Macaca fascicularis: one gene and its partner. The protein of the gene in region 1 interacts with the protein of each later gene in a pairwise test. Links are inferred from orthologs where the notes say so. Each region holds a gene or a part of one and is shown on either strand. Other genes may lie near its edges.

Evidence for each region.
Region 2: the proteins of MAP2K3 (region 1) and PDGFRA come close enough for resonance energy transfer, tested with the Homo sapiens proteins (2 studies listed by BioGRID). The link is inferred for Macaca fascicularis from reciprocal best matches to the Homo sapiens genes MAP2K3 and PDGFRA.

What each region holds. Positions count from the first base shown.
Region 1 is NC_088390.1:20,723,624-20,735,650, forward strand, and holds part of MAP2K3 (dual specificity mitogen-activated protein kinase kinase 3), read left to right. Parts: intron 1-2,006; exon of another isoform or gene 2,007-2,131; intron 2,132-4,342; coding exon 4,343-4,409; intron 4,410-4,806; coding exon 4,807-4,855; intron 4,856-6,484; coding exon 6,485-6,598; intron 6,599-6,813; coding exon 6,814-6,933; intron 6,934-8,114; coding exon 8,115-8,231; intron 8,232-9,154; coding exon 9,155-9,206; intron 9,207-10,406; coding exon 10,407-10,534; intron 10,535-11,031; coding exon 11,032-11,109; intron 11,110-12,027. UniProt on the Homo sapiens protein: Dual specificity kinase. Is activated by cytokines and environmental stress in vivo. Catalyzes the concomitant phosphorylation of a threonine and a tyrosine residue in the MAP kinase p38.
Region 2 is NC_088379.1:79,629,207-79,641,233, forward strand, and holds part of PDGFRA (platelet-derived growth factor receptor alpha), read right to left. Parts: intron 10,607-12,027; 5' UTR 10,595-10,606; coding exon 10,546-10,594; intron 8,274-10,545; coding exon 7,956-8,273; intron 5,653-7,955; coding exon 5,392-5,652; intron 4,376-5,391; coding exon 4,245-4,375; intron 2,000-4,244; coding exon 1,828-1,999; intron 1,737-1,827; coding exon 1,547-1,736; intron 1-1,546. UniProt on the Homo sapiens protein: Tyrosine-protein kinase that acts as a cell-surface receptor for PDGFA, PDGFB and PDGFC and plays an essential role in the regulation of embryonic development, cell proliferation, survival and chemotaxis.

The DNA of each region.
Region 1 (12,027 bases):
GTGGCTCCTTCTCTGGCGGGCCCAGCACTTCTACAGTGGAACAGGGACCTCCTGGAACATCCAGAAGTCAGGCGAGGGCAGTGAACTAGGAGCAGGGGTTACTTCTGTCGTCGGAAACCTGGTGATGCTCCTTCACGTGGCGCGGTGTGGCGTGGTGTGGCGTGGCGTGGTGTGGCGTGGCGTGGCATGGCGTGGCGCGGCGTGGCGTGGCGTGGTGTGGCGTGGCGTGGCGTGGCGTAGCGTGGCGTGGTGTGGCGTGGCGTGGCGTGGTGTGGCGTGGTGTGGCACGGCGTGGGGGCTGTCTTTATGAGTGGAGGCAGAGCAGAGGCTGTGAGGAGGGGTTGTCACCTTGCCCCTGTGGGTGACCGTTAGAGGGCCACACAGCTCAGTCTCCCCAGGCCCAGGATGGAAGGAGCAGCCGAAGTGGGGTCCCTGCCCTCAGGCTGTTGCTGTTTGGATGTTGGAGCCGGGCAGACCTGCCTTTACGGCCAGTCCTCACCAGATGCCCACCGTGTGGCCTCTCTGAGTCGCCTCTTCTCCCGTATGCTTGGTACAACAGATACGTGAACCTCCCCTGCTCCCTCGTGGAGTCACTGAGAAGGTGGACAGGGATGGTCTGGGGCTGAGGGTGGTGTTATCTCTGGAGCTGTGCACTCCCAGATGGCCCCATCTAATCTCCACGCACCAGGCATTGCTACGGCATGGCGCTGATAACCCCGGGAGGTTGGTCTGTAGTCTCCGCTTCACATATGTCCAGAGAGGTGAAGCCACTTGCCTGAGGGCACACAGCAGGGAAGGGGCAGGGTTGCAGTTGAGCCCAGGCCTTGGCTCCAGAGCGTTTGTTCGCAGGTGATCTGCAGACTGGCTGGCTGAGATGGTAACACAGAACGGCCACCTACGGGACTCCACAGCAGAGAAACCAGCAGGCCACAGGGAGAGCCGGTCACTGGGGCCTGAGCGGTCAGGCAGCCTCTCCGAACTGGTGAAAGGCAAGACCATGTGGCAGCTGGGACGGTCGCAGGGAAGAGCATTTCAGGCAGAGGGAAGGGCATGCGCGAAGGCCCTGCGATGGGAAAGCAGGTGTCTCATTCAGAGAAGGGCTCACTCAAGGGTCGGGTCTCTAGTGGGGGGTGAGTGGGAGGAGATAGGGCAGAGCTGCCGCGGCCAGTGAGAGTTGTGTCCTAGTCTGGGGGCACCTCTCTTTACCTGTGGTGTAGCCTCAGGTCAGTGGCTGAATTCTGGTCAGTTTCCGTTTCCTCATCCCTGCCTGGGGGCTGCTTTGAGGCTAGAGTATGTGGAGGACACCCCAGGACACCCCGTGCTGGGAACCGGGACAGGCGGGCTTGTCATGGGTTGCCAGTGGCCGCCGAGAGCCTCTGTTTGTTGTGGTGACGGTCGCCACAATGGCTGCACCTGGGCAGCCCTGGGCTGCCTGGCCATCTGGGCCCAGCTCTGACGTCTGTGGCAGCCTGAGGCCTGTTTCTGGGCTGTCTCCATGACGGCCTCACCCACTCCGTCTGACAGCTGGGTGGCTTCCCTGTGGAGCCTGCGGCCCTCCTGATGCAAGTCCGGTGTCCCCAACAGGCAGGTGGATGCAGAGGCCAGGCCATATACCCCCCAGGCCTGTGAGGAGCGTGGTCCCCACCCATCCAGCCCATATGTGCAAGTGCCCTTGACAGGTGGGGAAACTGAGGCTTGGTGAAAGGGGGGCACATGATACAACATCCCCAAATCCCAGGGCGTGAGGTGGGTGGCAGGCTGGGCCAGAGGGACCAAGAGCAGAGAAAGTGCAGGGAGGGTGTGGCGTGGACCCCACAGGAAAAGGATGGGACTGCAAGGGGCTGGGCAAGGTCAAGGCCCAGGGTCTCTGTGCAGAGCTTTCATTTTTAACAGAAAATATTTTATATTCTGATCACAAAAAACCTGACATCAGGAATAAAAGCTATCTGTAATTCTCATTACCTAGGGCAGTTTTTTTTTTTTTTTTTTTTTTTCCACCTCTGCAGAGAGGCTGGTCATATCCATGGTGACCATTTATGGGCCACAACAGGTCCCCATCTGCGCAGTGAACCCTGTGCTGAGCACCTTGCAGACGTGGTTTTGCTTCGTCCTGCAGCACCGTGCGGGGCAGGTGGGTGGCATTTCTGCCTCGAGCTGTTTTGTACATGAGGAACCCAAGGTGCAGAGGAGGGCACCACGCCAGGATCGCAGAGCTGGGGTTTACTATGGCTGCCCTATGCCAAGCCCAGAGCCCCCTGAAGTTCAGAGCCTTTGGCCCAGAGGCAGGATAGAAGTGGTCTCGGGAGCTGCTGGCCCTGTGTGCCATGGTTTCTCCTGTGAGAGTGTGCTGAGCCTCTGCGTCTCCAGACTCTGTTGCCGTTTCTTGTTAAGCATGAGACTTGGACCTGTCCTTCAGCCTCAGGGAGGGCTCCCTGGGGCAGGGGTGCTGTGAGCCGTGGCCTGGCCTGTGGGGGTCTCCAAGTCAACAAACTCAGGAGGGACTGTAGCCAGAACCCTGACTTGCTGCACAGCCTGGGGCAAGTGGCTTCACCTCTCTGAGCCTGTTCGCCAGGTAAAGTGAGGTTGAGAGCCCCTCCCTGTGGGGCTGTGGGAGCATCTGGAGTCACAGATGAGAAGGGCCCTGCCTGTGGCCAGTGCTGTGGCTCTGACAGACTCGCCGTGAGACCCGTGCAGTCCCGGACAGCCAGGGTGTTGCTGCATCTTAAAATGAGTTAAAAAGCCTCACACAGGAGTAGTGACTAGGCAATTGATTCACCGGGTGAGCGGTTAGCAGGCAGGCACCCAGTGCATGTGGCGGCAGCTGCCGCTGCTGCCTCTGTCTGTGGATGCCTTTGTTTCCTGAAGCCTCTGGGGCCTGGCAGCAGGGTCCCCGGGGCGGCTTTGGTGGAAAGGCTGCAGGTATCTGCTTGCCTGGCCCCTGCACTCTGCCCACCTGCCCCAGGATGGACCCTGGGACCCCTGTCCCCGCCGAGGCTATTCTGTTTCCTGTTGATCTGGCCTTGTCTTCCTAGTGGCGGTAACCACCCTTTGCCCTCCGTCCGGGCCGGGTTGGCTGCTGGGCCCCAGTGCGTGGCTCTCAGATGGGGCCACAAGTCTGCGTTGCACTGTGGCCAAGGCTGGATCTGGACCTGACTTGGAGGCGGCTTCAGAGACTGGGGTCTTCTTGGCAGGTGGCAGCAGGGCCATGGGCAGTTTCCAGGCCCCAGTGCCAGCAGCCAGGCTGAGCCAGCAGCAGTGAGTGGGAGGTGGTGGGTGAGGGCCAAGGTGTGGCAGGACCATGCTTGGGAAATGGGGCAGAAGCTCCCGCAAGGGCAGGAATGTGGCCAGCATGTCTGTACTGGGTGGTCTCGGGGAGCTGTGTCACTCCCAGCCCTGCTGCCTGATGGTGCCAGAGCGCCCGGTGACCCTGCCATCTCTGATCCTTGCTTCTCCTGCCTGTGGAATGGCGGCTATGCCTTCTTCAAAGGGCAGCCCTGACTACAGGGAGCTCCCTCTGCATGCCAGCCCCACTGTGCCTGGAGCCCCAGAAATGCTGACCCTCCGTTAGTACCAGCTGAGTGCTGTGCACCTGGCCATGCTCCTGCAGCCAGCCTGAGAGGTGTGGACACTGGGACCTCTCACCTGCCCCCAGGGGTGGAGTGAGGAAGGTACTGCCCCAGGACTGTGGCCTGCCCAGTGCAGGGGAGGGGAGAGAGCCAGCACTTTTCAGGGGAGGGAGAGAAACGGGCATCAGGTGTTGGCCTCCAGGGTGAGCAGGGCCCGGCAGAGCTAGCCTGCAGGGCAGCCTGGGCTGGAGTCCCCGCTTGCTCCACCGCCTGTTGCCCTCTCTGGGGTCCTGGCCTTCCTCATCTTGGAGGTAGTGTGAGCCTCATCCTGCTACCTGCGGCCACGAGGCCCCTGCACAGTGGCTGCTGCGGGTGCTGGCTGGACCCCTGCTGGGCCCCTCTCACCCCACGTCCCGTTGGCTAGTCAGGCAGGGCAGTGAGGACACCTCACAGATGGGGAAACTGAGGCCCAGGGAGGTACTCAAGATGTGCCCAGTGGGCAGGGCTGAGATAAGGCCCTGGGCTCCAGCCTCTAGGCCTGGGTCTGTCCTGCTCTTTTCCCCTGCAGGGCTGGTGGGCCTCCTTCCTCCCTTTGAACGCCTCACGGTCTGGCTTGGAGAGAGGGGGCTCCCGGCAAGGGTGATCGCAGAGGCTGGCATCCTTGTGGGCCAGGGCCTGAGTCATCCCTGTCTCCATCTTTGCCCAGCCCAAGGGGAGTGCAGGGGACATTGATGACTGAGGGATAGGCCAGAAGCCTCACCTTCTCTCCATTCTAGGAAAATCCAAGAGGAAGAAGGATCTACGGATATCCTGCATGTCCAAGCCACCCGCGCCTAACCCCACGTGAGTCTGCCTCAGTTTCTCCCTGGCTCACCCTGGAGAGGCTTCCCGAACAGGGCTCAGTGGAAGGAGTGAGAGGCAGGTGGGGCCAGCTCTGCTTTGCCTCGTCCTGTCCTGGGCAGCACCTGCTGTGGGTCCAGCTAGGTGACAGCTGCTGGGGTTCATGCAGCACCATCTGCTCTGCTCTGCTCACTTCTCACCCCGTCTTGGAGGCTCGATGAGGCCGTGCCCAGCTCATGTAGATGCTCAGCAGCCAATGAGAGGAGGTGGTCCGAGGAGGTGCCTCCGGGGCAGGATATACCTGGTTCCCACGCCAGGCCCCACACTGGCCCATCTGCTGCTGCTCTTGGAGGAAGGGTGTGGTTCTCTCTGAAGCTCATGGAGCCTTCTTTCTCCACAGACCCCCCCGGAACCTGGACTCCCGGACCTTCATCACCATTGGAGACAGAGTAGGTGCCAGCCGCCACCCCTGCAGGGCCTCTCACTTCAACTGACGAGTGGGTAGAGCTGACCCTGCAGGGTCACTATGAGGGGAGGTGACTGAGGGGTCAGAGAGGGTCAGGCTGTGGAGAAGAGTGTTGTCCTGTGCTGCTGGCTGTGTGGCCCTGGGCCACCCACCCTTTGACCCTGCTGGAGGGAATGAGGACCATTGGCTGCCTGTCTGGAGCTTGGTGAGCTCAGAGCTGGTAGGAAGGTTTCTGAGCTGAGAGCACAGCCCTGCACCTCATCCTAGCCCTAGCGGAGAGTACTGAACGTGCAGGCTCCTAGGCCTCCCTGGACCTGCTGGATCATTCCCTCAGGCCAGCACCTAGGAAACCTGCATTTTCTGCTTCCAGAAGCCTCGGAAGGGCACTAGCCATTGAGAATCCTGTCTCAGGGACCGTGTTATGCCCAGGTCCTCCCAACAGAAACCCTACTCCCAGGCCAGGTGCAGTGACTGACACCTATAATCCCAGCACTTTGGGAGGCTGAGGCAGGAGGAGGATCACTTGAGCTCGGGAACTCGGGACCAGGCCTGGGCAACATGGCGAAACCCTGTCTGTACAAAAATACAAAAAACTGGTCAGTGTGGTGGTGCATGCCTGTGGTCCTGGCTACTTGAGAGGCTGAGGTGGGAGGATCGCTTGAGCCCAGGAGGTGGAGGTTGCAGTGAGCCATGATCATGCCACTACCCTTCAGCCTGAGTGACAGAGTGAGACCCCGTTTCAAAAAAAAAAAAAAAAGAGCTGGGCGCGGTGGCTCACACCTGTAATCCAAGCACTTTGGGAGGCCGAGGCGGGCAGATCACCTGAGGTCAGGAGTTCAAGACCAGCCTAGCTAACATGGTGAAACCCTGTCTCTACTAAAATACAAAAATTACCCCAGTGTGGTGGCAGGCGCCTGTAATCCCAGCTATTCAGGAGGCTGAGACAGAATCGCTTGAACCCAGGAGGTGGAGGTTGCAATGAGCCGAGATCACCCCATTGTACTCCAGCCTGGGTGACAAGAGTGACACTCTGTCTAAAACAAATAAAAGAAACCCCACTTCCTAGGCCTGTCCTTGACGATGCCCCCTCCAGGCTGTCGCACCCCCGACACTCACCACCTGCTGTCCTGTTCATCTACTTGCTTGTTCCTTTTTGTGTCCCTCCCAAGAGAGGGACACATTTGTGAAGGCAAGACTTGTTTTGTTGTCACTGTGTCCCCAGTGCCTAAAACACATTGTGGGTGCTTGGTAAACAGTTTTTGAATGACTGACTCATTCCATTCCAGCTGAGTGGAGTTGGGGAAAGAGGGACAGGGCCCCTCTTTCTCAGAGCTCTGCCTGCTGGCGGGGCATTTCATGGGTGTCTTAGTCACACTCCAGAGCCGCCTTGGGGTGTTGGCACTGTGCCTATTTTATAGAGGGCAACGTGAGGCTCAGAGAGGTTAAGTGACTTGCTGAGGGTCACACAGCAGGGAGTGGTGGGTATGAGGTTTGAGCCCAGATCTAACCAGCTGGTCCTCTTCATGCTGCCTAGCTATCTCCACTGGGTGAGAGGTGAGGACTGGCTTCCAGCTTGGTGGCCACTGACTCTCTCTCTTTTCCATCCCTCAAGAACTTTGAGGTGGAGGCTGATGACTTGGTGACCATCTCGGAACTGGGCCGTGGAGCCTATGGGGTGGTGGAGAAGGTGCGGCACGCCCAGAGCGGCACCATCATGGCCGTGAAGGTGAGCAGGGCCTGGAGGCACCTGGGAGGGCTCCCTGGAGGAGGCGAGCTGAGCCCTGCCATGGGGCCCTGCCTGTCCCTCTCAGTGACCAGTACCGAGCCCAGGCTTTTTGGGGCACACTAGGCAGTGGCCCTCTGAGCTCCTGGTCCTCCTGTCATGAGTGGGGGTGTTGGCCTCTGCCACAGCAACCTCTGAACGGCAGTCCTTCCCTGCAGCGGATCCGGGCCACTGTGAACTCACAGGAGCAGAAGCGGCTGCTCATGGACCTGGACATCAACATGCGCACGGTCGACTGCTTCTACACTGTCACCTTCTACGGGGCACTGTTCAGAGAGGTGTGTCCTCGCGTGGTACAGCTGGGGAGCTCCACCTCCCACCCATCAGTCGCCTGCAACCCACTGTCACTCAGTCCCTCCAGTGTGCCAGGTGCTGGGGACACGGGGAGCCACCCGGGGCCAGCACGGCTCCCAGAGGCACCAGCCCTGCCAGACCACCGGGCTCCCCCACCTCCTGGCTGTTACTGTCCTGCTTGGTGCCTCGGTTTCCTTATCTGTCAAATGAGGCTAGTGGTTGTGGGTGCCTCCTAAAGTTGACACGGAAGTTAAATGACATGGCCTGGGGCCTGGCATTCGGCTGCACTCAGTTCTGCCTGTGTGACCATTCGCATCCCCATGGCATACGGGGCGTGGGGTGCCTGAGCAGGCAGTGGCCATGGAGATATGAGATCTGGGTTCTAGGTTTGTGGGCAGCATGGGGTGTGTGCTGAGGGAGTGACTGAGCTGGAAGGGTGGAGCTGCCTTCCGCCAAGCCGGGTGGGTGTGGGTGAGCAGGGAGCCTGGGAGCCTGGGCGATGCTGGGCTCATACTGGTCGCTTGCCCCTCAAGGAGCTGTGGCAAGGTCAGGGCATCTGAGTCCAGCAATCGGGCACGGTCAGGGCTGCCTCACCTGGCCTCACTCTTCACTCATGAAGAGCTCAGCATCCCCTGTGCCAGCTCCTAGCCAATGGGGCCCCTACAGCCTGTGGGTGCCCCGTGCGCATCTCCTAACTTTCCTGTCAGGAGGGTCCTCAGGAGTTCACTGGGGAAGAGGGAGCTGGTCCTTGCAGGCAGGGAGCCATCTGCCAGGGTCAGCGGGCATGAAGGTGTCTGTCGGTCCACAGGGCCGGCTGTTGCCGTGGAGCTGGTGCGGGTGCATCCTGAGGCTCTGGTGGAGGGACCCAGTGAGGCTCTGTGCTAATCCCCCTCCTCCCTGGAGACACCTGGAATTAGGGATTAGATGGAGGAGGCTGGCACCCGAACCTGGCAGTGCAGGCAGAGCTGGAGGGTGGGGAGATGTGGGCAAGTGGAGGGTGGGGAGAAGCGGGCAAGTGGGGGGTGGGTGGGAGCCCGGTGAACTGTGGCTGAGTGGGTGGGCACACATTGAGGAGGGGGCTGGGGCTGGTGCTGGGGCAGGCAGTGTAGGTGGTGCCGACACAGGCAGCCCGGCAGCCTGGCTGAGCTCTGGGTGTCACCCACAGGGAGACGTGTGGATCTGCATGGAGCTCATGGACACATCCCTGGACAAGTTCTACCGGAAGGTGCTGGATAAAAACATGACAATTCCAGAGGACATCCTCGGGGAGATTGCTGTGTCTGTGAGTGGCCTGGGTGCGCTGGGGGTCCCAGGTGCATAGGCAGAGGCCCAGCCCTTCCAGCAGGCATGGAGCCTGCCAGATACTGGTGTCTTGGGCAGAGCTGGGCATCAGTGTGCCCCCTGAGCCTGGGCAGCTGCCCTGCATAGGCCCTTCTCCTCCACCCCACACCAGAGCCTTCACGCTTAGGAGACCTCAGCTCCTTGGGCTCCTGGAGCCCCACAGATTTGGCAGATCCAGGTGTCTGAGCCATTGATTCCAACTCTTGAGTTCCAGACCATTTTTTTTAAAAAAAGGAATTTAGTATTTACAACAGCATCATACTGAAAATGCCCCGGGGCAGCTCACAGAGGTACAAGCTAAGTTGAGGGAAAGGTTAGCATCCAAAATGTGTGCTTTTTGAGTCTCAAAAGTCCTTGAGGGAGGGCAGCAACACTGGGCTTGAGCATCCCAGTAGCCAAAGGAAAAAGGAAAATAGAACTAGTGACACTGGTTCAATCCTCACTGCATCTGGAAACGTTTACAATATATGCTTGCCTCAGGCTCCCCACCCAGCCTTCCCAAGGGAAATGGCTCCAAGCTGCTAGAATACTGGCTCTGCCACGGGAGGGAAGATGGGACAGGAAGGCTGCCAAGAGCTGGCTTTTACCCAAGAAGAGCCTGGCAGGCAGTGATGATGATGGCTCCCTGGGAGGTGAGCCTGGGAGGGTGAGAGGAGGCAGGAGGCTGAGTGTGTCCACACAGGGATTGTTAGGATGCTGAGGCAAATGCCAGGACAGGGCAGGAGGCTGGGGTGAGGAGGTGCCTAGCCTGTGCAGCGGGAGCAGGAGACAGGTGGACATGGATGGGGTCTTACTGCTGTCGTTGTTGACATGACCAGCAATAACAGAGTCCTGTCTCTTCCCTCCTCCCCACCCCACCGCCAGATCGTGCGGGCTCTGGAGCATCTGCACAGCAAGCTGTCGGTGATCCACAGAGGTCAGTACCCGGCAGCCACCCAGGCACGGTGCAGCCAGTGGGAGGGATCCCAGGCCAAGGCGGGTAGACGTCTCCCTATGAGCAACTGAGGCTCAGAGAGGTGATAAGTTGTGACGTGCCCAATGGGGTCCCAGCCGCTTTCCACCTGCAGCCCTGCAGCTGCCTCCCCTCATGTTTGCTGGTGTTCGAAGCAAGGACTAGTTTTACCTTTGTCCTGAGAAAGGTGGACCGGGTTCTGTTCTAACGTATAGTTTACAAATCGTGAAATTCCAGCACAGAGTACGTATAATCACGTTCACACCCATGCAACCACCTCCCTGCAAGATGCAGGATAATTCCCTTACCCCAGCCCAAAATGTTCTCTTGGGCCCCTTCTCTGCCATCCCTCATGTGCCTAAGGCAGCCACAAGTCTGGTTTTCCCATGGTGGGTTGGTTTCGCCCTTTCTGGAACATCAGCCTCACTAGCTTGATGTTTCTGGACCCATCCGGGTCTGGTGTGGTGTCGGTTTGTTCCTTTTTGCTGCTGAGCCCAAGTCTATTTTTCCAGATTTACGGCTTTTCAAAAAATGAATTAGGCTTAGTTCCCATTGACCACTGGGTGCCCATCCCAGCCTCCACCTCCAGGTCACTGTGGTTGGCGTTTGGCACGGAACCTTCTGGTCCTTTTTATGTGCATTTCCATCTTTACACACATCCCCATGGAGGGCACGCGGATGCGAGTGTCCTGTGCGCATTTGCATGGAGAATCCCTGCTAGGCTGGTCTCCCATGCTGGTCTGTGGGGACTCCATGTCCAAACACACAGATCCTGCCTCCCAGGCTTTAATTGATCCTGCTGCCCTCTGGGAGCACCCACACAAGCCAGGCTCTCACTGCACCTCACGTCTGGAGGGCGGATGCAGGCGCGGCGCCCCCAGCAAAGCACCTGGAGTCCTGCCTTCTTTGCAGTGGCTTGGCTGGGCTGGGCACGTCCTGGCTATTCCCTGAGGACCATGTATGACCGTCAGCTAGCCCGACACCTCTTGCAGCCTCAGTTCCCTGGTCCGACCCTTGGGACCCTGGTGGAACCTGCCCACTGGGGCATGGGAGGGGGCACAGGAGGGGTCTGGGGCGAGGGAGGGGGACACAGCTATGCAGAGCATGGCACCTGCCTCCAGTCATGCTCCACAGACGTGGCTGAGGCATGTCCTTTCCTGGCAGATGTGAAGCCCTCCAATGTCCTTATCAACAAGGAGGGCCATGTGAAGATGTGTGACTTCGGCATCAGTGGTTACTTGGTGGACTCTGTGGCCAAGACGATGGATGCCGGCTGCAAGCCCTACATGGCCGTGAGTGGTCCCCAAGCCCCCCAGGCTCAGGAGAGGATGGGGCGGGGAGAGATCTGCCCAAATCAGCCACCCCGGCCATGCCCTCTACCCGTCGGGCAGAGCCTCCCCACACTGCGTTTCCTACCATAGTGGGGCCACCTGTGTCTGGCTGCCCAGGGGCAGCCCTTCTGTACCCTGTTGTTAACTGACCCCCACAGCGCCCCAGTTAGGTGATAAGCTGCATGAACAACCTCCCCGGAGGACCGTGGTGGGCTGTGCCGGTCCTGCCCCGCCCTCATTGTCAGGAGGGCCTTAGGGGTCTGCTCCCAGGTAGGGGCAGCCCGAGGCAAGGTTTGGGCCTTCTAAGCATGACCCAGGCCCTCCTAGCCTCAGTTTTCTCCCCGGTCACATGGGCAGGTGGGCTAAGCTGAGCGCTCAGTTTGGGGATTGGGAGGCAAGGCCTAGCCATCGGAGCTTACCTGGGGCGGGTGTTCACGCCTCACTGTTCCCTCCTGCAGCCTGAGAGGATCAACCCGGAGCTGAACCAGAAGGGCTACAATGTCAAGTCCGACGTCTGGAGCCTGGGCATTACCATGGTACTGTGTGGGGCCAGGGCCTGCCCTTGGTGGTCAGGTGGGGTGGGTGGAGCTGTGCCTGGGGCCCTGAGCTTTTGGGAGACTCCTCAAATAGTTTAGGCTCTGGAAAGAAGTATTCGCTTCAAAATCTGAGAAGAAAACATGCCATCAGAAATTACCATCGATTTAGGGGAACGTCCTAGGGTCAGGGTCACTCATCATGAAGTCCTGGGCGCTTTGTGATGTGGTGGTCACAGGGCTTTCTCTGGAGTTCTTGGTGCTTGCTGAGAAATCACAGCCAATCCCAAATTATGTGAGTTCCTGGTATGTAAATCGTGCAAAAGCAAGATGGTGAAGATCTTTTCAGAAATATTTCATAGCAGAAGGTTTGTTGCCAGTGGCGTGCTGGTACCTTGCTGTGGAGTGGTAGGAAGGGTGGGTGGACTCTCAATCCTGGGCCTGTGGAGGCCAAAGGCATCCCTGGCTTGGGTAGGGTGAGAGCAGATGCGGCAGAAGTCCAGGTGTAGGGATGGGCCCAGAGCCATTGCTTCTGGAATTGCCTGGCAAAACCCCATGCCTTCTGTGTCGGGGCTCAGGTCAAGGTGTGGGTGAGCCTGCTCTGACTCCCATGTAGATAGTGGATTGGAAGGATGGGAAGACCACCAGGGTGTGTCCCCCAGCCAGGGCTAGGAAGTTGTGCAGGAGATGCGTGGAAGGACGATGCCATCAGCAGGTAGGGCTCAGGCCGGTGGCCTTTGCCAGCTGCGTGGCTTGGGACCAATGGAGTTTTCTGGGCATCAGCTCCTTCCCTGCCCAGGGAAGCCTGGCCCAGGACATTCCTGCTTGTCCCCAGTCCCTTTGACTATTTGGTGTTGGGGATGAGGCCATCAGAGGAAATCAGTAAGATGTGGTGAGAAGCAGTAGCGGGGTGTTTTCCAA
Region 2 (12,027 bases), on another chromosome or scaffold:
CGTTGTGAGAGTTAATTAAAGGAGATTGTATGTGTGAAAGGATTTCATAGGCTGCAAAACACTTTGCAAATGCTGGGGCACTCAGACCTATGAAGAGAGCAGGCTGAACCATACTGGGCGTGCTCCAGGACTGGATTTCCTTAGAGAGTCCCCTAGGGCACACTGGGATGCTGATTACCAAATTATCCTCTGCTGTTTGTTGTCTACACTTCTTCAGCCAAGAAAACCAGTGGGTCCACTAGTTTTAAGCTCCAGGAAGCCAGATCCCCCACCTACCATGTTCATCTTTATATTCACTGGTTCATAATAGGAACTAAAAAATACACACCGAAGGATCCTTGAATCACTGAAAGGAAAACACAGCTTTCCAGAACCACTCAGTTGGCAAGCCTGTCCTGCCATTGCTGTGGATTATGGCTTGCAGACAATGCTCACACATGTGTTGGAGGTGTTAGCTGTACCAGTGTTACCCTACTCCTCTCTGGCTGCACAGCCTCATGGAAGTTCCTTATGGAAAGCTGCCCTCCTTGTTGTGCACCTTCATTTTGTGTCAACAGAAAGCCTACCAGATTCAGTACCCCACTTCATTTTTCCTTTACTATTCTATAGAGATTGTAAAATTCCATTTTCTCAGACTGCTTCTCAATTACACGTGGAATTTAGTTCAGAAAGAAGAAAGCAAATCATGAGGTGAACTGAACTGATGAGAAAGGCTCTGTTCTTCCTCCTCCTGAAGGCTTGAAATAGAGGACTGACTTTGTCTTTCTGAGATGATTTCTGACAAAAGTATAGGGCTGGTTAGCTGGGTGCTGCAGGATGTACCTTCTGACTCTTGGATTCTAATCACAGCTTAAAACCTCAAGAAGCCCCATGATATCATCTGATCCAATTCCTTGCCTCGAAGGACATAAGGTATTGTTTACCCTACATTGTAGATCAGGAAACTGTGGCTGAGGGTGACTCACTCAAAACACCACCACCAGTTAAGAGATGAGAGCAATCGACCATTCTGATTAAAAGGCAGGGATCCAAGTGATTCACTGCACATCTCTTTCCTTACTAAAGTCAGCCAGGCTCTACTCTTCTTTCCTGTGGAGTCCTCAGTTAGGGCAAATGGGTTCCAGATTAAGCCTACGATGTTAACTTTCACGTAAGGTGATGTGATAACTACCTCATGGGTGTAATCACCATACATGTCTACTTGCAATATGGATGATGAACATCAGGGAATGTATTCAATCTATTCAATCCTGGTGAGTCCGATTTTACTTCCTTTCTTCCACCCTAGCTGAATACAGTGACCTGTCTTTCCCCAGGAGCCAGAGCTTTTAGTTCTTTCTTCTCATCTTCTCATTAAATACTTACCAGCATACGAATACCATATTGCAATGTTATCATTAAAGGGATGTGATTTCAAGCATCTCTGAACTCAGATTGCTACATTTTCTAGAATGACTTTGGGTCTGGGTTGTAAGACACACACAAACCTCAGTCCACCTCTGATGCACACTAAAAAAAGGCATACTTGGGCAGAGTGTTTCTTTACCTTATTTCCTGAATCTTTTCCACATCAGTGGTGATCTCCGTGAGGTTTTCAATCAGAGTCAGATTGTTTTTCAGCCAGGATATCCTGGGAGGTGGGTAGGCCTGCACCTCTACGACAAAATGTTTGACTTCATGCAGGTTGACAGCTTCCAACTGGCTAAAGGTGGGTTTGATTTCAATGAACCCTTTCTCTGTACAGGGAAGAGTTTCCATTAAATAAAGATTACCACATATGGATCCCGAGCAGCATGGACGACTGACATTTTAGAAAGCGGAATGTACCATGGACAGAAATAGTGACTCTCTTCATTTCTTTGACCTCCCTGGTAGCCTGGCGGGCAGCACATTCGTAATCTCCACTGTCTTTCACCGTGGCCTCGGGGACCGTCAAAGTATACACCAATTTGATGGATGGGACTTTGATTTCTTCCAGCATTGTGATGCCTTTGCCTTTCTACAGCAAAAGGGGAAGAAAACCGACTTTTAAAAAGCTCGCTCCTAGGAGTGAACTCTAAGGTAGACTATGGACTCTGGGTGATATGATGTGTCAATGGAGGTTTATCAGTTGTAGCAAATGGATGGCAGGGATGTTGACAAGCGGGGAGGCTATGCATGTGTGGGAGCAGGAAACACGTGGGAAATCTCTGTACCTCTCACTCAATTTTGCTGTAAACCTAAAACTGCTCTAAAAGATAAAACCTAAAGAAAAAAAGCTAGCTGCTTAGAAAATCATGAGATTTTTTATTTTGTTTTTAATTTTTCTAGAGACAGAATCTCGCTCTGCTGCCCAGGCTGGAGTGCAGTGGCACAATCATGGCTCACTGAAGCCTCAACCTCCTGAGCTCAAGCGATCCTCCTACCTTGGTCTCCAGAGTAGCTGAGGCTACAGGCTCATGCCACCACGCCTGGCTAATTTTTAAAACATTTTTGTAAAGACAGAGTCTCGATACATTGCCCAGGCTGATCTCAAACTCCTGGCCTCAAGTGACCCTCCTGCCTCGGCCTCCCAAAGTATTGGGATTACAGGCATGAGCTACCACACCCAGCCAATTTTTTAAAAGGATAGTTAATGACACATATAAGGTGTTTGTGCTATACTGCTGAAGGATAAAGAATGTAACAAACTACTGTTTAAAGAATAACACCTATTAATTATTCAATGTTTATCTATGGATAAGAAATATTTAAAAACTTTATCTCAGTCAATCTCAGAGGCTCACATGTGTAATCCCAACACTTTGAAAGGCCAAGGTAGGAGGATCACTTAAGTCCAGGAATTCGAGACCAGCCTGGGCAATGTAGTGAGACCTTCATCTCTACAAAAAAAAAAAAGAAGAAGAAGAAGAAAAAAAAAAACCGAAAGAAAGACAAATAAAAAATAAAAGTTTTATCTCCCTAAAATATAAACAGCGATGCTCTGGGAAGTAGCCTTTCCTTTGTCTCTCTGTATTTTACAAAGTATCTGCATTAAACCTGCATTACTTTTACAATCAGAAAAAAACATATTGTATGAAACAATACTTTGATTATATATTTGTAAGCCAAATAGCATGTACTTTGGTTTGGGAAAAAAATACTGTATCCTATAAATAAAAAGCAGTGTTTATGTGTTAGGGATTAATGGCAATCAAGTGTGAACAGAAGAACCAAATCACTCCATATTTCAGGGAAGATGTACATTTGTTGGACTGTAAATGTCCCTTTACCATGTGAAGTTTATGAGGCAATAGTGAAAATGCCCACCTTCCAATCAGATGCTCCAGGACGAATGAAAAGCAGTGGCAAATGCATGGGAGAGAGAAATGTATATAAGGAGGGAGATCAATGGATAGAAGGACAGAAAGCTGTCAAATGCCTAAAAGAACAGGGAGCAGAAATTTACAAGTCAGGAGAAGAGGGAAGAAATATATATATCTGGTTTTTGTTCTCCATAAGAATGTTAGTCATTCCTGCATTTGGGCATTCATAGCCTCTTACACATGCCTCTCTTACTTAGTGACAATGCATTCGAATGACTGAGACTCTGTGTAAATCTCCAGTGACCAAGAGGCAGCATGGTGGCTCCCTTTCCCCACTTCCATCTCCCCTCCTCCCTTCATCCGGCAATATTGGACCAGCTTCTGGTACGGTGCTTGAGATTGAGTAAAACATCATTAAACCTTTGTTGAATGATTACATAGTGACTGTTCACTGAACGTGAGCCATGCAAAGGTCAGGCACATAGGAGGTGGAACAGGAAGACACACTGTCCTCAGTGTCAACAAGGCAGAACAGGAAGGAGTGCAGGCAATAAACACTATCAAATGAATCAACCGTCAGAAGCACAGAAGCCAAGACAATGACAATTAATGACTCTCCGCAATAGTAAAATCCAGCGGTTTTTTTGCTCTTCTAATTTTTTGGTTGATATTTTGTAGCCAGAGAACCTTCCTATTTCTGTCTGACTTCTGAGAAAGAAGGCTTAGTGCACACTCTTTATGTATTCTGAAGGCCCTGGTCCAGCAACTGTCGTTTCAAACTCGCCCATTGATCAAGGAGCCCTAAAGGCTTTTTAATCAAATGTGTTCATCATAGAGGTGGGAAGCTAAGGTCTAGAGAAACTCAGTGATGTGCCCATCAGTGACAGACCCAGCACAAATGCAGGTCTTCTGAGCCCTGCTGCTCTGCTCCAAGCCATTGCACATTTTGAGGGTACCTACCACTTCTCCAGGGTAAGTCCACTGAAGGTCAACCACCTCATTGTTAAAAACAGCACAGGTGACCACAATCGTTTCCCCTGACTTATACACGGTTTTAAGAGCTTCCATTTCTAGATCCAGCTCTGATGTTGCTATAAAAAAGAACAAATACAAGGGCCTAAAAATCCATAGGATAGTAAGGATCTTATAAAGTTTGGGTGGTGGTGTTGTTTTTTGTTTTTTTAAGAAAACCCTGAAAAATAATTTGTGAACCAATTATGAATAAAAGCCCTGATCAAGATAAAATTTAGAAAATCTCACAAGGCTTGATTTTGAGATGGTGTACAACAATTAGGTGTATAGTTATAATACAGAATTATAAAATAATAACAATAAAAATAAATTCCAATCACTGCATTCCTCAGCAGTGCGTTAGTTATGGTTATACTCGTCTACCATCACCTTGACTGACATACTTATTCATTTAATCAACCAACCTTTGATGATCCACACTGCTCTAGACACTTTGTTTCTATCCAATTTTTTCTTCTCTTCTTCTCTTCCACTCTGCTCCTCAGTTATTCTCAGTACTTTCCCAGAACCCAGCACAGTGCCTGGCACAAAATTAGCTGTGCTCTGATTTTCAAACAGTGTACTCTTGCTGCTACCCATTCCTCCACATAGAATAGTGGTCAGGAAATATCTGTTGACCTCAGCATGTATTATACTTCCCCAAGCGTACTAACTGTGGACATCAAAGGGTTGAAGTCTACAACTACTTTCTTCAGAATTGAAATCATTTTCCTTAAGTTACTAAATTAATCTAGGAATCTAACCCCCGAGGTGTATGCTTGTTTTAGGGCCTCCGTAGTCAGGAATGTGAATGAAAGTAAGAGGCTTATATAAGAAAAGAATTCCTTACAGTATTTTGAAGTCAACTGATGAAACATGAAATCTTGCATGAGTAATCAAGCTTTAGCCTTTAGTAATTTTAAGCTTATTATTATAGCCATAGAGGTCACCTTGACACTGTATTAGCTGGGGTCCTAAATCCCCAAATCAGAATTTAGGATCACCAGTGGTGATGATTTTAAAAAAAAATCATACATGCACCTGATGATTATGCCTGTTACTCTTATTTAAAGAAGGAAGGAGATGATATGAGTACCTTTTAAAGCATAAACGTTAAATGGGATGGTCTGGAACTTCTTTCCTTTGACGGTGGCCTCACAGATATAGGGCCCTACAGTGAAGGTCCCATTAAAGCCCTGTCTGCTGTTGTAGGAGGCAGGTACCACCCCCTCACTGTTGTGTAAAGTTACAGGAGTCTCAGGATCAGTTGTGCGACAAGGTATGATGGCAGAATCATCGTCCTCCACGATGACTAAATAATCCGTCATTCCTAGAGGTACAAAGGCTACATCTGGGTCTGTGGTTTAAAAAAGAATGAAGACTCCATTAGACATTAATTTCACCTTTACACATAAATCCAGAAACACTATCCCACTGGCAGTATTGATATTAGGTATGAAGTTCACCTTTACACATATATCCAGAAGAATTGCCCCACTGGCATTAGTTATCATGACAGCTACAAAGTGATTTTTAAGTGTGAATAATGTCAAATTGCTTGTCTCCTGATGGATAATACTGATGATAAATATTAATAATGGATAAGAGTTGTGGCTCATGCCTTTAATCCCAGCACTTTGGGAAGCCAAGGTGGGAGGGTTGCTTGTGTTCAGGAGTTTGAGACCAGGCTGGGCAACATAGAGAGACCCTGTCTCTACAAATAAATAAATAAATACTAACCAGGAATCTAAATCAAAATTTAAACAACTAAAAACAAAAATGAACAATAAAATATTTAATAGAGTCCAACTCTGTTCAAAACAGGAAAAAATATTTCTAGTTTTATTATGAAATACTTTCAAAAAACTCTTATCACCTGTAGTCAGTACGATTGAAAAGTAGCACAGAAATGTGTTTGTTAAAAAGTAATCCTTTGAGAAATACATAAAATTTAAAGAAGGAGAAGGAGAAGGAGCCTGAGAATTTCCTTTCCAAAAGAAAAACAGCTACTTAAGCTACGGTGGTAAGAAGTTCTAAGAGTCTCAAACATCAGCTGCAGAAAAGGCCCCTAAATCTCCATTATTGTGAAATCAAAAGATCTCTGTCAGACAGCGATGCAGGGGCTACTTGGATGGCGTCTGTGCTGGAAAAAGATAGGGAACAAGAAGAATTTTTGGACAATCTTACACGGATTAAAACCAGGGACTTGTGTGCCTTTAACATATTCACGATCCTACCATTCTCTTCACAGCAGGGGAAAATCCCTCCACACCTAGAGGATTTTCCTGAAGGAATCTAAGTGTGAATGAAGTTGGGGTGACATTCTAAATGTCTTACCTTTTCAAAACAAAGTTGTTTATTTTTTCCTTAATTGTTAAGAAGGAAGGCTCATATGAATAAGAGTATCATGAAAGAAGTAAAGAGGGTCTAGGTCCCTGGGGACACCCATAGTTACAGAGGGTAGGAAGAGGAGCCCATTAAAAACTGAAAAAGAAAAGGCAGAAAGGTAGGAAGACACACTTCTGTGAGAACCCCCTTCCTCGACCTATGCCAAAACGGCAAGGATGGCAAGAATCCTAAGCGGTTTCTGTTTTGTTCTAAAACCAAGGATTCTAGCCACAGTCCTTTTTAATTTACCCAACTGCATACTGAAATTGCCACCACTTGTGTTCAATCCTTTGTCCTTTTAATTAAAATGTAGGAGTAGGCCGGGCCCAGTGGCTCACGCCCGTAACCCCAGAACTTTGGAAGGCTGAGGTGGGTGGGGCTCACTTGAGCCCAGGAGTTCGAGACCAGCCTGGGCCACACAGTGAAACCCTATCTCTACAAAAAAAATACAAAAATTTCGGCATAGTGGCTCACGCCTGTAATCCCAGCATTTTGGGAGGCCGAAGCAGATAGATTACTTAAGGTCAGGAGTTCAAGACCAGCCTGGTCAATATGGTGAAACCCCTGTCTCAAATGAAAATACACACACACAAAAATTTTTTAAATATAAAAATTAGCCAGGCGTGGTGGTGCATGCCTGTAATCCCAGCTACTTGGGAGGCTGAAGTGGGAGGATCGCTTGAACCAGGGGAGTTGAGGTTGCAGTAAGCCATGATCATGCCACTGCATTCCAGCCTGGGCAACAGAGTGAGACCCTGTTTCAAAATATATATATATATATATATATAACTTTTTAAAAGGAAAAAGAAAATACCTTCCAACTCTCAGAATAAATGTATATTGATAGTGAATCTGAAAAATCGAGTGTTTATTTGGAAGATATTATAATGAACTATCAGCAACTCCAAGACCGGGCTTACCTATTAATTTTTGTATACTCAACACGTAGCCCAGTGCTGGACACACTGTGAGTATGTGTGCAACTTGAATGAACTGAATAGAGATGAGTATATTTCAGATTGTTTATACAGTACCAATACAGGACATGTCATAACAAAGATGACTTTCCAAACTTAATACAGCTCTGAAATGCTAACAATGAATATTTCTTGATAATATTACAAATGATTTTTATTTCTGTGTGTTCGCTTACATCTTTCAAACTTCCTGCAATAAATATTAATTATTTATATATATGTTTAAAACCTTAGTACATTTAACAGGAAAGACAGGAAGAGAAGAAGCTCGGTCCTGGGGACCCATCCCACTCACCTGGCACATAGATGTAAATGTGCCTGCCTTCAAGCTCATTCTCTTCTGTCTGAGTGTGGTTGTAATAGCAAGTGTACAGCCCTGTGTGGGCCGCCGAGGCACTGCTCACTTCCAAGACTGTCACAAAAAGGCCACTGTTGTTTTCTTCATTTCTGATTTCCACATCAGAGTTCTCTTCTTCAGACATGGGGTACTGCCAGCTCACTTCACTCTCCCCAAAGCATCTCAGAGAAAAGGATGAATTCAGCTGCACAACCTTTTCATTTTCATTTGGAAGGATAGAGGGTAACGAAAGCTGGCAGAGGATTAGGCTCAGCCCTGCAAAAGGAAACACGCTCTGAATAGGATGCAACCAGAAAGGACGGTCTCATCCCGAGAACTGAGAGAAGCAACAGTAGCAGCTTAGATGAACAATGACCATTTCTACACAAAAATCCGTTAGCCTGGATGCCCATGAAAGGTCCCCCATTATAACAGCTACTGCATCTGCTGAGAGCAGCAAATGTTCCAGATAGCTCTACCAAGCCCCACTAGATTCACTCCTCCAAACACTCAAATGGACAGAGGATGTCTGATTCCAATTCCATATTTCAGACTCTTATGTGTAACCATAAAATATCCCAAGATGGCACAGGCTCAGGCACATATGGGTTCTTTATGGTTCACAGTCACTGCGGAGGTTTCCCTTAGTTAAAATGAGATGAGGCTGGGGCGCAGCAGCTCATGTCTGTAATCCCTGCACTTTGGGAGGTGGAAGTGGGAGGATCGCTTGAGTTCAGGAGTTTGAGACCAGCCTGGGCAACATAGTGAGACCTGGTCTCCACAAAAAATAAAAAATAAAAAAATTAGCCAGGTGTGCTGGTGAACACCTGTAGTCCCAGCTACTCCAGAGGCTGAGGTAAGAGGATCACTGGAGCCCAGGAGATTGAGGCTGCAATGAGCCTCTGCACTCCAGCCTGGGCAATAGAGCGAGAGACCTTGTCTCAAAAAAACAAAACAAAACAAAACAAAATACATGGAATGAGAACAGAGGCAAGGATATGGACTGAACAAAACACAAAGCACATCTGTGCTCAAGAATTCCACATTTTCCATTTCTTATAGCCCTTGGGCATGCTGTCTCTCCCTCATGACTTCCAGGGCCAAAGCAGGATGATGTGGATTTATTTATTTGTTTATATATTTATTTGTTTTTATGAGATGGAGTCTTGCTCTGTCACCCAGGCTGGAGTGCAGTGGTGCCAGATGATATGGATTTTAATTCACAATTAGTAAGTAAAACCCGAGTGAAAACTCTCAGTTCATCTTTGAACCTCAAATTTCAGTCTCGCTTATTTAGACTGAAACTGAACTTACTCCTTTTGAAATAGAGTAAATGTGATATAGCAAAGGAATTGAAGGTTTGCGGTCATTCTGGATAACGTCCTGCAGTTTTCTACTTCTTTTCACTCTTTTGGACTGTGTATGCAGAGTACAGATAATAAACCCATGGAGCACAGAACTTAGAAAACAAGAAACCCAAGACAGATAGAAGAGATATTTTGACTTAATTATTAATTAATGATTTGTAATCTCCCTTGGAGCCTGATGTGAGACTCCCACCCAACTTCAATATATGACCACCATAATTCCTGAAACTTGTTAAGGTAGGATTTGTAAGCACATCTGGATCACCTGTTACTCTGTAGATGGGGTATACTTAGTGGAGCTTACATCTGTTAAATCTCTGGTCTTGCTCAATTCTACCATATCCAAATGAGTAAGACAAAGACACTAACGGGCTGAGCTAACTCCTCAGAATAGAAGAGCACTGGTTCCATGGCAAACATCTGCAGTGCATAAATATCTGGAGGAAAACTAAGAAAGTCCAGTACATCAACAAATTACCCCAATGGCATCCTTTTGGTGGGAAAGTTTTTAAGATTTTCCAAGAACCAAACATTTATCTATCAATTTGATTCCTAGAGAAGATAAAGGTGACTCTGAGATTTGGAAGCAATGTAAGCATCTTTCATCAGGAGAGTTATGATTTAAGACAGGTATGATTTCTTGGGCAAGAATTTTCTATTATTTATTTTCTTTAAACATTTTTTTAAATGAGGTCTTGCTATGGTGCCCAGGCTGGAGTGTGGTAGCTAGTCACAGGCATAATCACAGTGCACTGCAACCTGGAACTCCTTGCCTTAAGGGATCCTCCCACCTCGGCTGCTCAAGGAGCTGGGACAACAGATGTGCTACCTCCCACAGTTGACCATTCCTGAATTTATCTAATCTAGCTCTAATAGAAGACTTGTCCTAGGAAAAGGAAGAGTAAGTAAATTTAGACATTATTACTAACAACATTTCAATGCCAACATTATATATATTACTAAAACTGCCACTAGAGAGCATTCCTTTTGAAATGGAGTAAGTGCAATACAGCAAAGGGAACTGAAGGTTTGTGGTCATTCTGGATAACGTCCTGTAGTTTTCTATTTCATTTCATTCTTTTGGACTGTGCATGTGGAGTACTGGTAATAAACCCATGGAGCACAAAGCTTAGAAAACAAGACACCCAAACAAGGAACTCAGAGAGGACTGGGCTCCGTACCTGTGAGAAGACAGCCTAAGACCAGGAACGCCGGATGGGAAGTCCCCATAGCTCTGGGAAACTGGAAAAGTCAAAAGTCAACAGAAACAGCATTAGCAAATAGAAATAATCCTGGAGCCTAGTTCTCTTTGTGTTTTGCACAATAGAAAATATTAACAGCATCATTTTAGTCAAACATGTCCCAGGTTAAAATTCAAGGTTCAAACAGTAAGACACCTGAAAGATGAAAGAATCAATGGAGCCCCAAGATCATGGCGGGAGCTGCCTAAAGCCAAAACCTTCTGTGATTGCATGCAGCTTTCAAGGGTCCTTTAAACCTTTATATCAAGAATTAGAACAACAAAGAAATAAATACATATATATATATATTTTCTCAGTTTCCAAACTAGAGCTGATTTTCACGTTTCGATTAATAAAGAGGTAACACCCTCTACAACTTTTAGAAAAGTTACTTGGGTTGGAGTAAATACCTTAATATTTAAGTGCCATTTTGACCTAGAATTTCCGAAACTTTCAACAATGGAGGTCATTTACAAGAGGCCTTTGTGATACTGAGGCACATACCAGGCTCAGACCTGAGCACCCAGCCCGGGTTCTCGCAGGAACCCTCGGAGAACCTGCTGGATCCCAAGCCAGGCTAAACAGGGCATGGAAAACCAGGTACAGGCATGAAAGGAGGAGGAATACAGAAAGTGAAGAAGGGAGAGAAAGTGGGAGAGATAAGTGTGACTAAATTCCTGTGCAGGGGGTAGGAGGGATGCAGTAGACTCTAGGATAAAATTAACAGGAGGCTGATCATTCATTTTCATGTTAAGGTAAAAGCACCTGTGCAAACCAAGTTCAAGAACTTTCTAATTTTCTACAGCCAAATCTGGGAATGAAGAAGTAGAGAAAGGATGGAAATTGACCGTCCGTAAGACACAAATAAGGCAAAAAGTGGGAAAGAAGAAAGGAGGGAAGGGAAAAGAAAATTAAAAGAGAGAAAGAAATTAAAAGGGGGCCCCCGCTGCCCTACGGTAAAACCACTGTGAGGGACTATTCTGGCACACCGTGAAAAGACCTCTCTTCTTTATTTCTTCCCCATTCACTTTATTTTATCTCCCCCGTCATTTCTCCTTTGAAGTCACTGGTAGTGGTCACTGGTGAAGTCAGTGAGAAGGAACTGTGAATGAACTTGTAGGGGCTGGGGCCAGTAAGTTCTTGACTGAAGAAGCCACAGTAAGGGTCCTGGGCAGAGCCCCTAGTTTTAACATAGCCCCCCGAAAATCACCACGTTAGTCTTGGCCTGGGATGTACTGGATCCCTAAGTTGCTCCTAAAGTCACAGGGTGAATCCCAAAATTGAAGATCCCCGTGGGAGGCCACATGGGTTCTTGGCTTTACCCAGGAAGGAATTCAAGCAAATTTATTACGAAAGTAAAGGAATCAAAAAGGGTGGCTACTCCATAGGCAGAGCAGCCACACGAGCTGCTTAACTGAGTAT